2 linked regions of the Caenorhabditis elegans genome follow. The protein of the gene in region 2 purifies or fractionates together with the protein of the main gene of each other region. This does not show direct contact. Each region holds a gene or a part of one and is shown on either strand. Other genes may lie near its edges. The genes, in order: madf-3 and herc-1.

Region 1 (6,806 bases), on a different chromosome or scaffold from region 2:
TGCTGAGACTACCTGATTTTCATAACGAGACCGCTAAGAAAGTTTTGAGGTTTCCAAAATTCAACTTTTTTGGTGAAAAAGTCGAGATTTTCGCACAAAAAAATTGAATTTTGAAAACCTCAAAACTTTTTCAGCGGTCTCGTTATGAAAATCAGGTAATTTCAGCATCTAAGCATCATATGTATCATGTTTCAGAAAAAGTTTAGGTTTTGTATTCCCGTAATCCATCATATTACATTGACCACTTTCACCGCTGCTTGCCCACTGAATGCATGATTTTTTCACTTGGAAATTGGAAATTGTTTTAGCATCTGCAAAAAATATTTATTTATCAGTTTTATTAAGAAAAAACGAAAAAAATCGATGAAAAACGAAAGAAAACAGGCGGAAAACAAAGCAAGATAAATGGCCGCTGAAACTTGTCGGCCCCTCGGCCATGGCCTAGAAACCACTTTTCCTCGTCCCTCGCGAGGAAAAAGTTGCAGTGTAACTTTCAGACTTCGCGGTGAGACCCATCCGCAAAAAATTTTTCAAAATTTTTCAAAAAACACAGATAAAAAGTAGGTTTTGAACACCTTAAAAGAGGTAAATTTACAACAAAAAATCCAAATTTTCTAGGATAAAAATCAATTATTCATGAAATAAAAGGACCTGAGATAGGAAAGACGGCGATGGAAATTAAGAAACTGCCCACAAAAATTACAAAAAAAAATACAGATACAGAAATATTGTACAAATATGAAAATATGATGAGACCAGTTGATGGGATAAAGATCAAAAAAATTGGAAATAAATGCGCCAAGACTACAGTACCTGGGGTCTCGAAGCGACAATTTTTGTTAAGTGCGTGTGTAAAGGTGTGCGCCTTTAAAGAGTACTGTAACTTCAAAAATTCGTGAATTTTCATCAATTTTTCATAGTTTTTCGATAAAAAAGACAATAAATTTTCACAAATTGTGAGAAAAACTCGACAAAAATTCACAGTTAAACACAGTACTCTTTAAAGGCGCACACTTTTTTCAATTTTCAACTTATCAAAAAAAAAGTTTTCAACTTATCAATTTGGGTCGTGGCGAGACCCGGCTTGGGGTAAAATCGAAGAAATTTCGAGGTTGGGTAATAAAAAGTGGACAAAAAATTGAAAATTTCGGCTAGAAAATTCAATAAAAATCACAAATAATTAGGAGCAGGTGTAGACGGAGGTTTAGCGGATTCCAAAAGTATCATAATCTGCTGCTTTGCAATTATTCGTGCTTCTTCTCCAAGTGTCCTTAGATCCGATACAATTGATGCAGAGAATGCAGAATCTCCGTCGAGAAGTACATCACCGTTGTTTGGTCGCTTTTCAGCCATCATCACGTAGTTTATGCTGGAAATTTCAGGGGTTTATTGATTTTTTTTTTGGCAAAATAAAATTATTATTTTGGAATTATCTGTGATTACTTGTCGGAAAAAATTGCACCAAATCATCAAGTTTTCGCAAATTCCAAATTTTTAAAATTTCATTTTTCTAAATCTTTGAATTTTTTTTTTTGAAAATTTTTCAATTTTTCTAGAGAATCTAATAGAAATCACCGAAAATTGTCTTAAAACCGCCACTATTTGCTTCCGACCAATCAGCGCCCGACTCCGCGCAATTCCGAACCAATCAGCGGCACAGGTCGTCGCTGATTGGTTCAAAAAAGAGAAGGGGCCGAGCGCTGATTGGTTAGAAGTTGATCAATTTTAGAGTCAAATTTCCTCTTTTTTTTTCATCAACTTTTTGCTCATTTTAGCTCACTCACTCATCATCGTAATCTCCATAATCTGACATTTCATCCTGATTTCCTCCGTCATTGTTTCCCCCTCGTTTCAGACTTCGAGCACATCGAGATAGTTGCTCTGCAAAATTTTAGTTTTTTTTAAAGTATTTATTCCGGCGATTTTAGGAGCCACGTAAAATAATACATGGAACTGCGTAATTCGTAATTTCACATATGGCGGTGCGAAATTTTTTACATGTCAAAACAAGAGTTCTAAAACTAAACTCTTTTTTCGTATTTATATTGAGGAAAAAAAACGATTTTAAAGCTGGAGGAGTAGGAGTAAATGAGGGATTTTACTTCAAAATGCGCAAACTGATCCTGAATCTCTCTGCATCCACACTATTGTCCGTAGATCTGCATCCGCACTATTGTCTTCACTTGCGAGGAAAAAACGGGAAAAACTAGAATTAACGTCGCGCAGATACAGATCTACGGAGTGCGGCGCTGAAAAAGGCGCGGCAATTTAAATGATTAGGAGATTAGTCAGAATTGAAAATTAACCAAAATCAACCGATTTTTTTTCAAACTTAATGATTTTTGATTTTTTTTTTCGGGGGCCTTTTATGGTATTTCGGCATTCAGGATCAGTTTGATTTAAAGGTTTTTTGTTTTAATTTTCCAGGAAAAAAAGCTCGTACGTTCATCCAAATGCTGATCTATCCAAGCCATATCATCATACATCTCCCAAGTTGACACATCTTGAACATTCGGATCACCCTGAAGTTGCTAAGAAAAATTTGTAAAATTTCTGTTTAAAACAAAAATAGAGGCTCCACGAAAACGGGATACTGTTGAGAAAGGGGATTCTGGCACTGTGCCAATTTTTTCTCAAAGAAAAATTGAGTTTTGTGCGTTGGCAGTGCCAGGCAGGGAGGGGCAAACGATTTTTTCCGGCAATTCCGGCAAATTTCCAACTTGCCGAATTTGTCGAAAATCGAAATTTCCGGCAAACCGGCAAATCAGCAAATTGCCCGAAATTAAAACTTCCGGCAAATCGCCAAATAGGCAATATCCCGAAAATAAAAATATTCCGGCAAATCGCCAAATTGCCTAAAATTAGAATTTCCGGCAAATCGCCAAACCGGAAATTTGCCGAATATCAAAATTTCCGGCAAATCGCCAAATTTGCCGTTTATCAAAATTTCCGGCAAATCGCCAAATTTGCCGTTTATCAAAATTTCCGGCAAATCGCCAAATCGGCAACTTGCCAAAAATCAAAATTTCCGGCAAATAGGCAATTTTCCAAAAATCAAAATTTCGGGCAAATCGCCAAATTGCCTAAAATTAAAAATTCCGGCATATCGGCAAAATGCCCAAAATGAAAACTTCCGGCAAATAGGCAATTTGCCAAAAATCAAAATTTCCGGAAAACCGGCAAATTGCCTAAAATTAGAATTTCCGGCAAATCGTCACTTTGCCGGGAATCAAAATTTCCGGCAAATAGGTAAACCGGCAACTGCCGCCTGCCAGATCCCATTTTCCATAAGTTCTCCTTTTCATGAGGCCTCCAAATGCCTACCAAATTCCTCAGCCTCCTCTTCTCCCTAACATATCGATCTCGATGCTTCTTCCATTGTTTATAAATCGACGGAACTGTTCCAGGATATCGTAGTTTATCAATAATCATTCCCCATGCTTGAGTACGACAGTCTCCATGACGATATTTTGGATCACGAACATCATAAAGACACGGATGCCTTCTCACTTCAAGAATTAGATTTTTTCCAAAACATGGCTCAGCAATCTTTTCATGAACTCCAGTTGGCTCTTTTCGAGATGGTGATATTTCTGCTCGATCTGTCATATGTGGATCTAGAAAATGAAGATGTTTGAAATATTGCCATGATGATTTCTCATTTCCATATTTTTGTTTTCTCTTCTCTTTTCCATATTTATCTCTTAATTGCTTCCATCTCGCAGATAACATTCTCGGATCACCATCAAAACCGAGTACAGTAACCAGACGCTGCCAAACTCGATTTTTGTATTCTGTATTACGGTATTGTCGGTCTGTATTGTCGAAAAGGCATCGACTATGACGGACGGCTTCGATGAGACGTAGGTTGAATGTCGGTTCGATCATTTCCTCGCCGAAGCGGGTCGCTGTGTAGTTCCTGCAAAAAAAGGTTATTTATGATTTTTTTTAGAAAAATCAGATAATTTTCTGATTTTTTTAAGCGAACTTTTTTTTCGGAAAAATGCTTTTTGGGATTTTTTTGAGTGAATTTTTGATTTTTCTAATTTGAAAAAAAAAACTGATAACATCAAACTTTATCCAAAAATATGTTCTTAAAGGAAAACGCGATTTTTTGAATTTTTATCGAATATATAATTTTAAAAAATAGTTTTTCTGTCGGAAATTAATTTTTTTTTAAATTTTTTACAAAAAAAGCGCAGTTTTTTTTAAAAAGAAAATCGAGTATTTTTTCTCAAGAAAAAACACCTTAAGATTTTTAAAGATTTTTATCGAAAAAAAATGTGTTTTTAATGGAAGATCAAGTTTTTTTTTAATTCAATTTTTTTTGATAGAATATATAATTAAAAAATGGACTTGTTTCGAAAATTAACTTTTTTAAATTTTCGTATTAAAAAAATTGCAATTTTTTCGAAAAATCTGGTATTTTTCGAAGGTTTTTAGAAACATCTTTTTTTTAAAGTAAAAAACGTTTTTTTTTTTCGAAAAAAAGTGTTTGCAAAAACTGATTTTTTACCTTTTTAAAATAAAAAATTGTTTGTTGAAAAAAAAAAATTTTGACAACAAAAGTTTTTTTTTAATTTTTTTATTTAGTAGATTAAATTATTTTTAGCACTTCGTAAGTACTTACAATTAGAAAAATTTTCTTTTTTCATATATAAAAAATTGTTGATTTTTCGCCAATTTATCGGAAAATAAATTGGATCTTTTTTGAGAAAAATCTGATTTTTTTTTTCAAAAATTCGATTTTTCTAAATTTATCCAAATATCATTTTAAACTCACATATCGTATTGTTCTTCGTGATATAAATGCTGATAGTTGTGCTCACTGGAGATCATGATTAGCTGAAAGTGTTAGAGCAATCGCTTTTTGAGACGGCTTTTAGAGATATTATGAGGAAGGTTTTAAGGAAACCATTATGGGGAATAAAAAGAAAATAGATGTGATAGAAAATATTGATTTTTTTTCAAAAGAAATCAACAACAAAAAAACAAAACAAAACAAAAAAAGTAACAATTTAAATCTAAAACAACAGAAATCGCAAGCTCGTGTACTCCACGAGGAGAAGTAAAGTACTAGAATTTTGAATTTAACACTAAAAAAAAATGATTTTTTGCTTTAAATCCCAGAAAAAAAATGAGATTTTCAATTTTTGGTGATTTTTGGCAACTTAAAAATTTTAATTTTAAATTAAAAATTTGCATTTTGTTAACAGTTGCTGTTCGGCAAATTTCTTTGTCGACAAAATCGGCAAATCGGCGAATTGTCGACCTGCCGATTTACCGAACATAAATTTGCAGGAATTTTTTGGAAGAATTTTTACGAGACGGAAAAACTTGAAACTGTGCTTTTTTGAAATTTTTTTGTCGGTTTTCTAGATATTTTCATAGAATTTGCCAATTTTCAAATTAGATGTAGGAATAGTCATAGGATGCGTACAGTTTTGCCGATTAAAATTTAAATTCTGAAATATCAAAAAAAAAAAAGGTAAAAAATCGCAATTTGCCGAAAATCTATGGCAATTTCCGTTTTTTCGGCAAGTTGCAGGTTTGCCGATTTACCGCAAATTTTCAATTCCGGCAAATTTGCCGATTTGCCGGAAAAAAATCGTTTGCCGCAAACACAACTTTAAATGCCAAAAATATACCGTAATTTTAATTTGAAAAAGTGGAGATTTGCAATTTTTGGTAATTTTTGGCCACTTTTAATTGTTTTAATTGTTCAAAAATTTGCATTTTGTTAACAGTTTTCTGTAATTTTGAGCAAAAACTGTAAAAATTTTGCACTTCTCCACGAGGAGTACACGAGCCGCGTAAATCGACACAAGCTGAACAAAAATTACAATATTTAAAATGAATTCAATTTTCTTCCTTTTTCACTTTTTTCGCCGCCAATTTCTTCTGAAATCGATCTCTTTTATCCAATTGTCCACTAATTTTCTCCAGCTTTCTCTTGGAATTTGTCATTCTTCGAGTCCTCATTTCCTCCAAATGCCTATCAGCTTCATCTTCATCCATTCCACTCATCAGAAGCTCTTTTCTTCGATTAATCTCCTTTTTCTCTCCGAATTTCTGATTTTCCAGCTTCAACTCGGCTTCTTTCTTCGCCACAAGCACTTGGGTGACGTATTTGGTGACATGTTTTGGGCTGACCTGAAAAAAATGCGAAAATTAAGGGAATTTATTGATTAAAAAGTAGATTTTTTGTGTAGAGAAATGAAAAGAGACGGGGGAAAAAATGATGAAAAAAAAATTATTTGCGTCAATATAGAGAGAAACGCAGTCAACTAGAGAGTGAAAAATGAGAGGAAAATATTTTTTTTTGGCGTCATTGAAAGTGGAAGGAGTTTGGAAATTCAATATTTTGGCGGGAAATTCAAATTTTTTGAAAAAAAATGTTTCTTCCGCCTTTTTCGTGTTTTTAGCAGAAAAACTCGCTTTTTTCGAAAAAAAAATTAAAAATTTTCCTTTTTTATCCAAAATATGGCACTGGAAAATTACAAAAGAAGTGCAATTTTTGTTTTTTTTTCGCTTTTTTTCTAGATTTTCCGAAAAAAAAATATAGCTTCAAATTTAGGCAATTTTTCCCTATTTTTTGCCGAAAATTATATGTTTCTCATGTTTTTTGAAATCAAATTTTAGAAAAAAAATTCAATTTTTTAAAGATTTAAAGATTTTTCTTTAAAATATTTTTTCAGGTAAATATGCGCTTCATTCCTTTTTTTTTCTTGAAAAGCAAGTTTTTGATTTAGTTTTTGATTAATCTTTTTTTTGAAGAAATTTATATAATTTCTCTATTTTTTCAT
Region 2 (4,951 bases):
CAAATTGCCAGAAATTAGAATTTTCGGCAAATCAGCAAACCGGCAAATTGCCAGAAATTAGAATTTTCGGCAAATCGGCAAGCCGGCAAATTTCCAGAAATTAGAATTTTCGGCAAATCGGCAAGCCGGCAAATTTCCAGAAATTAGAATTTTCGGCAAATCAACAAACTGACAAATTGCCAGAAATTAAAATCTCCGGCAAATCAGCAAATTGCCAGAAATTAAAATCTCCGGCAAATCGGCAAGTTGCCAGAAATTAAAATTTCCGGCAAACCGAAAAATTGCCAGAAATTAAAATTTCCGGCAAATCAGCAAATTGCCAGATAGTAGAATTTCCGGCAAATCAGCAAACCGGCAAATTGCCAGAAATTAGAATTTCCGGCAAATCGGCAAGCCGGCAAATTGCCAGAAATTAGAATTTCCGGCAAATCAGCAAACCGGCAAATTGCCAGAAATTAGAATTTCCGGCAAATCAGCAAACCGGCAAATTGCCAGAAATTAGAATTTTCGGCAAATCGGCAAGCCGGCAAATTGCCAGAAATTAGAATTTTCGGCAAATCAACAAACTGACAAATTGCCAGAAATTAAAATCTCCGGCAAATCAGCAAATTGCCAGAAATTAGAATTTTCGGCAAATCAGCAAACCGGCAAATTGCCAGAAATTAGAATTTCCGGCAAATCAGCAAACTGACAAATTGCCAGAAATTAAAATCTCCGGCAAATCGGCAAATTGCCAGAAATTAGAATTTTCGGCAAATCAGCAAACCGGCAAATTGCCAGAAATTAGAATTTTCGGCAAATCGGCAAGCCGGCAAATTTCCAGAAATTAGAATTTTCGGCAAATCGGCAAGCCGGCAAATTTCCAGAAATTAGAATTTTCGGCAAATCAACAAACTGACAAATTGCCAGAAATTAAAATCTCCGGCAAATTGGCAAATTGCCAGAAATTAAAATTTCCGGCAAATCGGCAAACCGCCAGATTGCCAGAAATCAAATTTTCTGCAAATTGCCAGAATTTTAATTTTCCGGCAAATCGGCAAATTGCGAGAAATTAGAATTTCCGGCAAATCAGCAAACTGGCAAATTGCCAGAAATTAGAATTTTCGGCAAATCAGCAAACCGGCGAATTGCCAGAAATTAGAATTTCCGGAAAATTGTTATTTTTAGAAAAATAGGATAATTTGAAAATTGAAGAAAAAAAACTAATAAAAAAGTTTAACTAAATTTTTTTGGAAGTTTTCACAAATTGTTAGTAATTTCATGAGAAATAAGTTAAATTTTTGTCCAAAAAATCAATTTTTCAGGCCGCCCAAGACCGTGAAGCCGCGTGGGCTCGCAAGGAAGAAGCCGCAAAGGCTGCGGAGCCGTCCAGCAGCTCAACTGATGCTCCAGAATCTGCTGAAACTCTGGAAATTCCAGAAGAAAATGTTCAAGAAATGACTGAATAATTTGTTTTTTTTTTGTTATCTCTTTTTTCTCCTTTAATTTATCTCCATTTATCCCCTACACAGTTATAAATTCTGCTACGTGGCCGTGTGGAAAAAACTCGGCCACCGATTTTTTTTTGTTCCCTCACGTGGTGCCAAAGTGTTTCATTTCTGTTTGATCTACAAAAAATGCGGGAATTTTTCCCCAAAAAACTGTGACGTCAGCACGTTTTTAATCGTGCAAAATCAGTTGAGAACTCTGCGTCTCAACTCCCGCATTTTTTGTAGATCTAGGTAGATCAAACCGAAATGAGACATTCTGTCACAACGTGTTCCCTTTATTGTTGTTGCAGTTGTTATTTGATTTTTTTTTTTGAAAAAATTTGAATTTTTTTTTCAGATTTTTTCCTCTGATACTGCTTCAAAAACTAAAGTTGTTGAGATCACACTATGATATTTTCTAGATTGTTTTTTTAAAATTTAATTGTTAAAAAAATCAGATTTCAGAAAATGCGAGCTGAGCTGCTCGGATGTGGACACACGGGCGAGGGACAGCTCGGCGTTCGGCTCTCCGAGTCGACGATTCAAGTTCCCGAGAGAATTAGTACGGAGCTATTTTTGTTGCAGAAATTAGAAAACAGAAAAAAAAATTAATTCCGAAATTAAATTTTAAAAATTAAAAAATTTCGGATGAAAAAAAAACAATTGGAAGATTTTTGTAAATCTTTCACAAAACTTTAAAAAAAACTTTTTTAAAGAAATAATGGCAAACCGACATTTTGCCGGAAATGGAAGATTCCGGCAAACCGGCAAAAAGCCAGAAATTAAAATTTTCTGCATATCGACAATTTGCCTAAAATGAAAATTTCCGGCAAATCGGCAATATGCCTAAAATGAAAATTTCCGGCAAATCGGCAATTTGCCTAAAATGAAAGGTTCCGGAAATCGGCAATTTTCCTAAAATGAAAGGTTCCGGCAAATCGGCAATTTTCCTAAAATGAAAGATTCCGGCAAATCGGCAAGTTGTCAAAAATGATAGATTCCGGCAAATCGGCAAAAAGCCAGAAATTAAAATTTTCTGCAAATCCACAATTTGCCTAAAATTAAAATTTCCGGAAATCGGCAATTTGCCGAAAATGAGAGATTCCGGCAAATCGGCAATTTGTCAAAAATGATAGATTCCGGCAAATCGGCAAAAAGCCAGAAATTAAAATTTCCGGCAAATCGGCAATTTGCCGAAAATGATAGATTCCGGCAAACCGGCAAAAAGCCAGAACTTAAAATTTCCGGAAATCGGCAATTTGCCGAAAATGAGAGATTCCGGCAAATCGGCAATTTTTCAAAAATGATAGATTCCGGCAAATCGGCAAAAAGCCAGAAATTAAAATTTCCGGCAAATCGGCAATTTGCCTAAAATGAAAATTTCCAGCAAATCGGCAATTTGCCTAACGAAAAAAAATTGATTACTTTGGAGCAAAATTGTATGCATCTTTAAAAAACTCTTTTTTTTTGAATATTTGTTTAAAAACTGTGTGAAAATAGTTTAAAATCGTCTCGGAATTTTCTCTGAAAATTGTTCAAAATTTCAGTTGGCGCTCCAAATGATATGGATGGAACCGCAGTGACGTCAGTCACGTGTGGTGAACAACATACAGTATTCCTGACAAAAGATGGCAAAATGTGGAGTGTTGGTAGTAATATGGATGGACAATTGGGACGAGGCAGTCGGACTGAGGGTTCTTTTTCGATTTATCCGGTTTCTTGGACAAGCAGTGCGAAAATTATTCAGGTAACTTTGAGTTTTTTTTTTGGCGAAAATCCATTAGAAAATGATTTTACCATATTTTTTCGCTAAATAACATTTGAAAAATAAAAAATTTTTCGTTTTTCCCTAGTTTTTGGCGAGAAAATCCCGTAGATCTCATTTTTGTAAACTCTTTTTCCGTGGAATCCCCTTTTCTTAGATTTCCATCTCGCAGATCCTCTTCCCATAGTTCCCATTTGCGTAAATTCTCTTCTCGTAGATCCCCGTTTCGTAGATCTCCGTCTTGTTGATCCCCTTCTCGTAGAATAGCAAATTTCTAGATCCTCTTCTCCCAGATACTCTTTTGGTAGATTCACTTCTCGTAAATCTCCTTCTCATAGAATTAATTTTGGTTCCCGTTTCGTAGATCTCTGTTTCGTGCAAGCTCCCTTCTCGAAGATTCCTTTGCCGTAGATCTTCTTTTCGTAGATCACCCTTCTCGCAGCTCTCTTTTTTGTAAATTCTCTTTTCATAGATCTGCCTTCCATAGACTTCCCTTCTCGGAGATCTCCTTTACGCAGAACGACGTTTTGTAGATCCTTTTCCATAGATTCTCCTCTCGTAGAATGGCTAATTCCTAGATCCTCTTCTCCCAGATCCCTTTTTTTGTAGATTCTCTTCTCGTAGATCTCCGTTTCGTAGATGCTCTTTTTTGTACATATATTTTCCATAGATCCCTTTTTGCCTTTAATGTAGATTTTTTCCATAATTACCCTCTCCGTAGATCTCCTTCTCGTAGATCCCATTTCCGTAGAATTCCCCCTTTCGTAGATCCCATTTTCAAAGATAGCCTTTCCGTATAATCTCCCTTTCGTAGATTCGATTTTCGAAAATAATAATCTCGCAGATCCCCTTCTCATAGATCCCCATCTGGTTGATCACCTTCTCGTAGATGCTTTTTTCATAAATTCCCTTACTTCAGATCCATTTTCCGTGGATCTCCTTTTCGCAGAGCCAATTTCCATAGATCGCCTTCTCGTAGAAATTCCATTTTTCAGATCTCTGCTGGCCGTTCTCACACAGTCTCCGTAACCGACGATGGGCGTGTCTTCGCTTGGGGCTCCAATGAGCACGGACAACTCGGAATGGAGAGTAAATTCACGTGGCAGGGAACACCACGACGTGTTCAAGAGATTAATGATATTGTACAAGTGGCGTCTGGATCCAATCATTGTATTGCGTTGGATGAAGGTAGAAATTTGGAAATTTGTGAAAAAATTCAAATTTTTGCTGGAAAAGTCCAAAAAGTATCTCAAAAACCTGAAAAATTGAAAAATTTAGTAAGGGGATATGGTCGGGGTACTGTAGTAGTACTGTAGGGGTACTGTAGGAGTACGGTAGGATTACTGTAGTTTAGGGAAATTTGACTTTTTCTCTTTTGAATGGATATTGGTTTGGGGTTAGTGGGGGGGATATGGTCGGGGTACTGTAGTAGTACTGTAGGGGTACTGTAGGAGTACTGTAGTAGTACTGTAGGATTACTGTAGTTTAGGAAAAATAAACTTTTCGTCTTTTGAAGGAATATTTGTTTTCGAATAATTTGCAAAAACGGAAAGCTGGATTTTTTTGAAAATAAAAAATAAAAATGTAATCCCGCTTCAACGCCAAAAGAAAAGTTGGGTCTCGTTAGGAATTGGCGGCGAAATTTTTTGCTAATTTTTGCTAATTTTGAAGCATTTTTTGTTGCTTTTAATAATTTTTGTACCAACGACGACCAAAA

What was found.
Region 1: the proteins of herc-1 (region 2) and madf-3 fractionate together in Caenorhabditis elegans (co-fractionation; one large-scale study listed by BioGRID). This does not show direct contact.

The regions. Positions count from the first base shown.
Region 1 is NC_003280.10:4,332,789-4,339,594, reverse strand, and holds madf-3 (Alcohol dehydrogenase transcription factor myb/sant-like protein), read right to left. Parts: upstream 4,848-6,806; 5' UTR 4,784-4,847; intron 3,920-4,783; 5' UTR 3,889-3,919; coding exon 3,325-3,888; intron 2,523-3,324; coding exon 2,444-2,522; intron 1,882-2,443; coding exon 1,785-1,881; intron 1,370-1,784; coding exon 1,171-1,369; 3' UTR 557-1,170; downstream 1-556. Other genes in the region: H20J04.4 (RNA helicase), read right to left, coding at 5,860-6,153.
Region 2 is NC_003279.8:1,209,558-1,214,508, forward strand, and holds the start of herc-1 (HECT domain-containing protein), read left to right. Parts: upstream 1-1,927; 5' UTR 1,928-1,937; coding exon 1,938-2,031; intron 2,032-3,016; coding exon 3,017-3,216; intron 3,217-4,229; coding exon 4,230-4,422; intron 4,423-4,951. Other genes in the region: nsun-2 (tRNA (cytosine(34)-C(5))-methyltransferase), read left to right, coding at 1,305-1,448.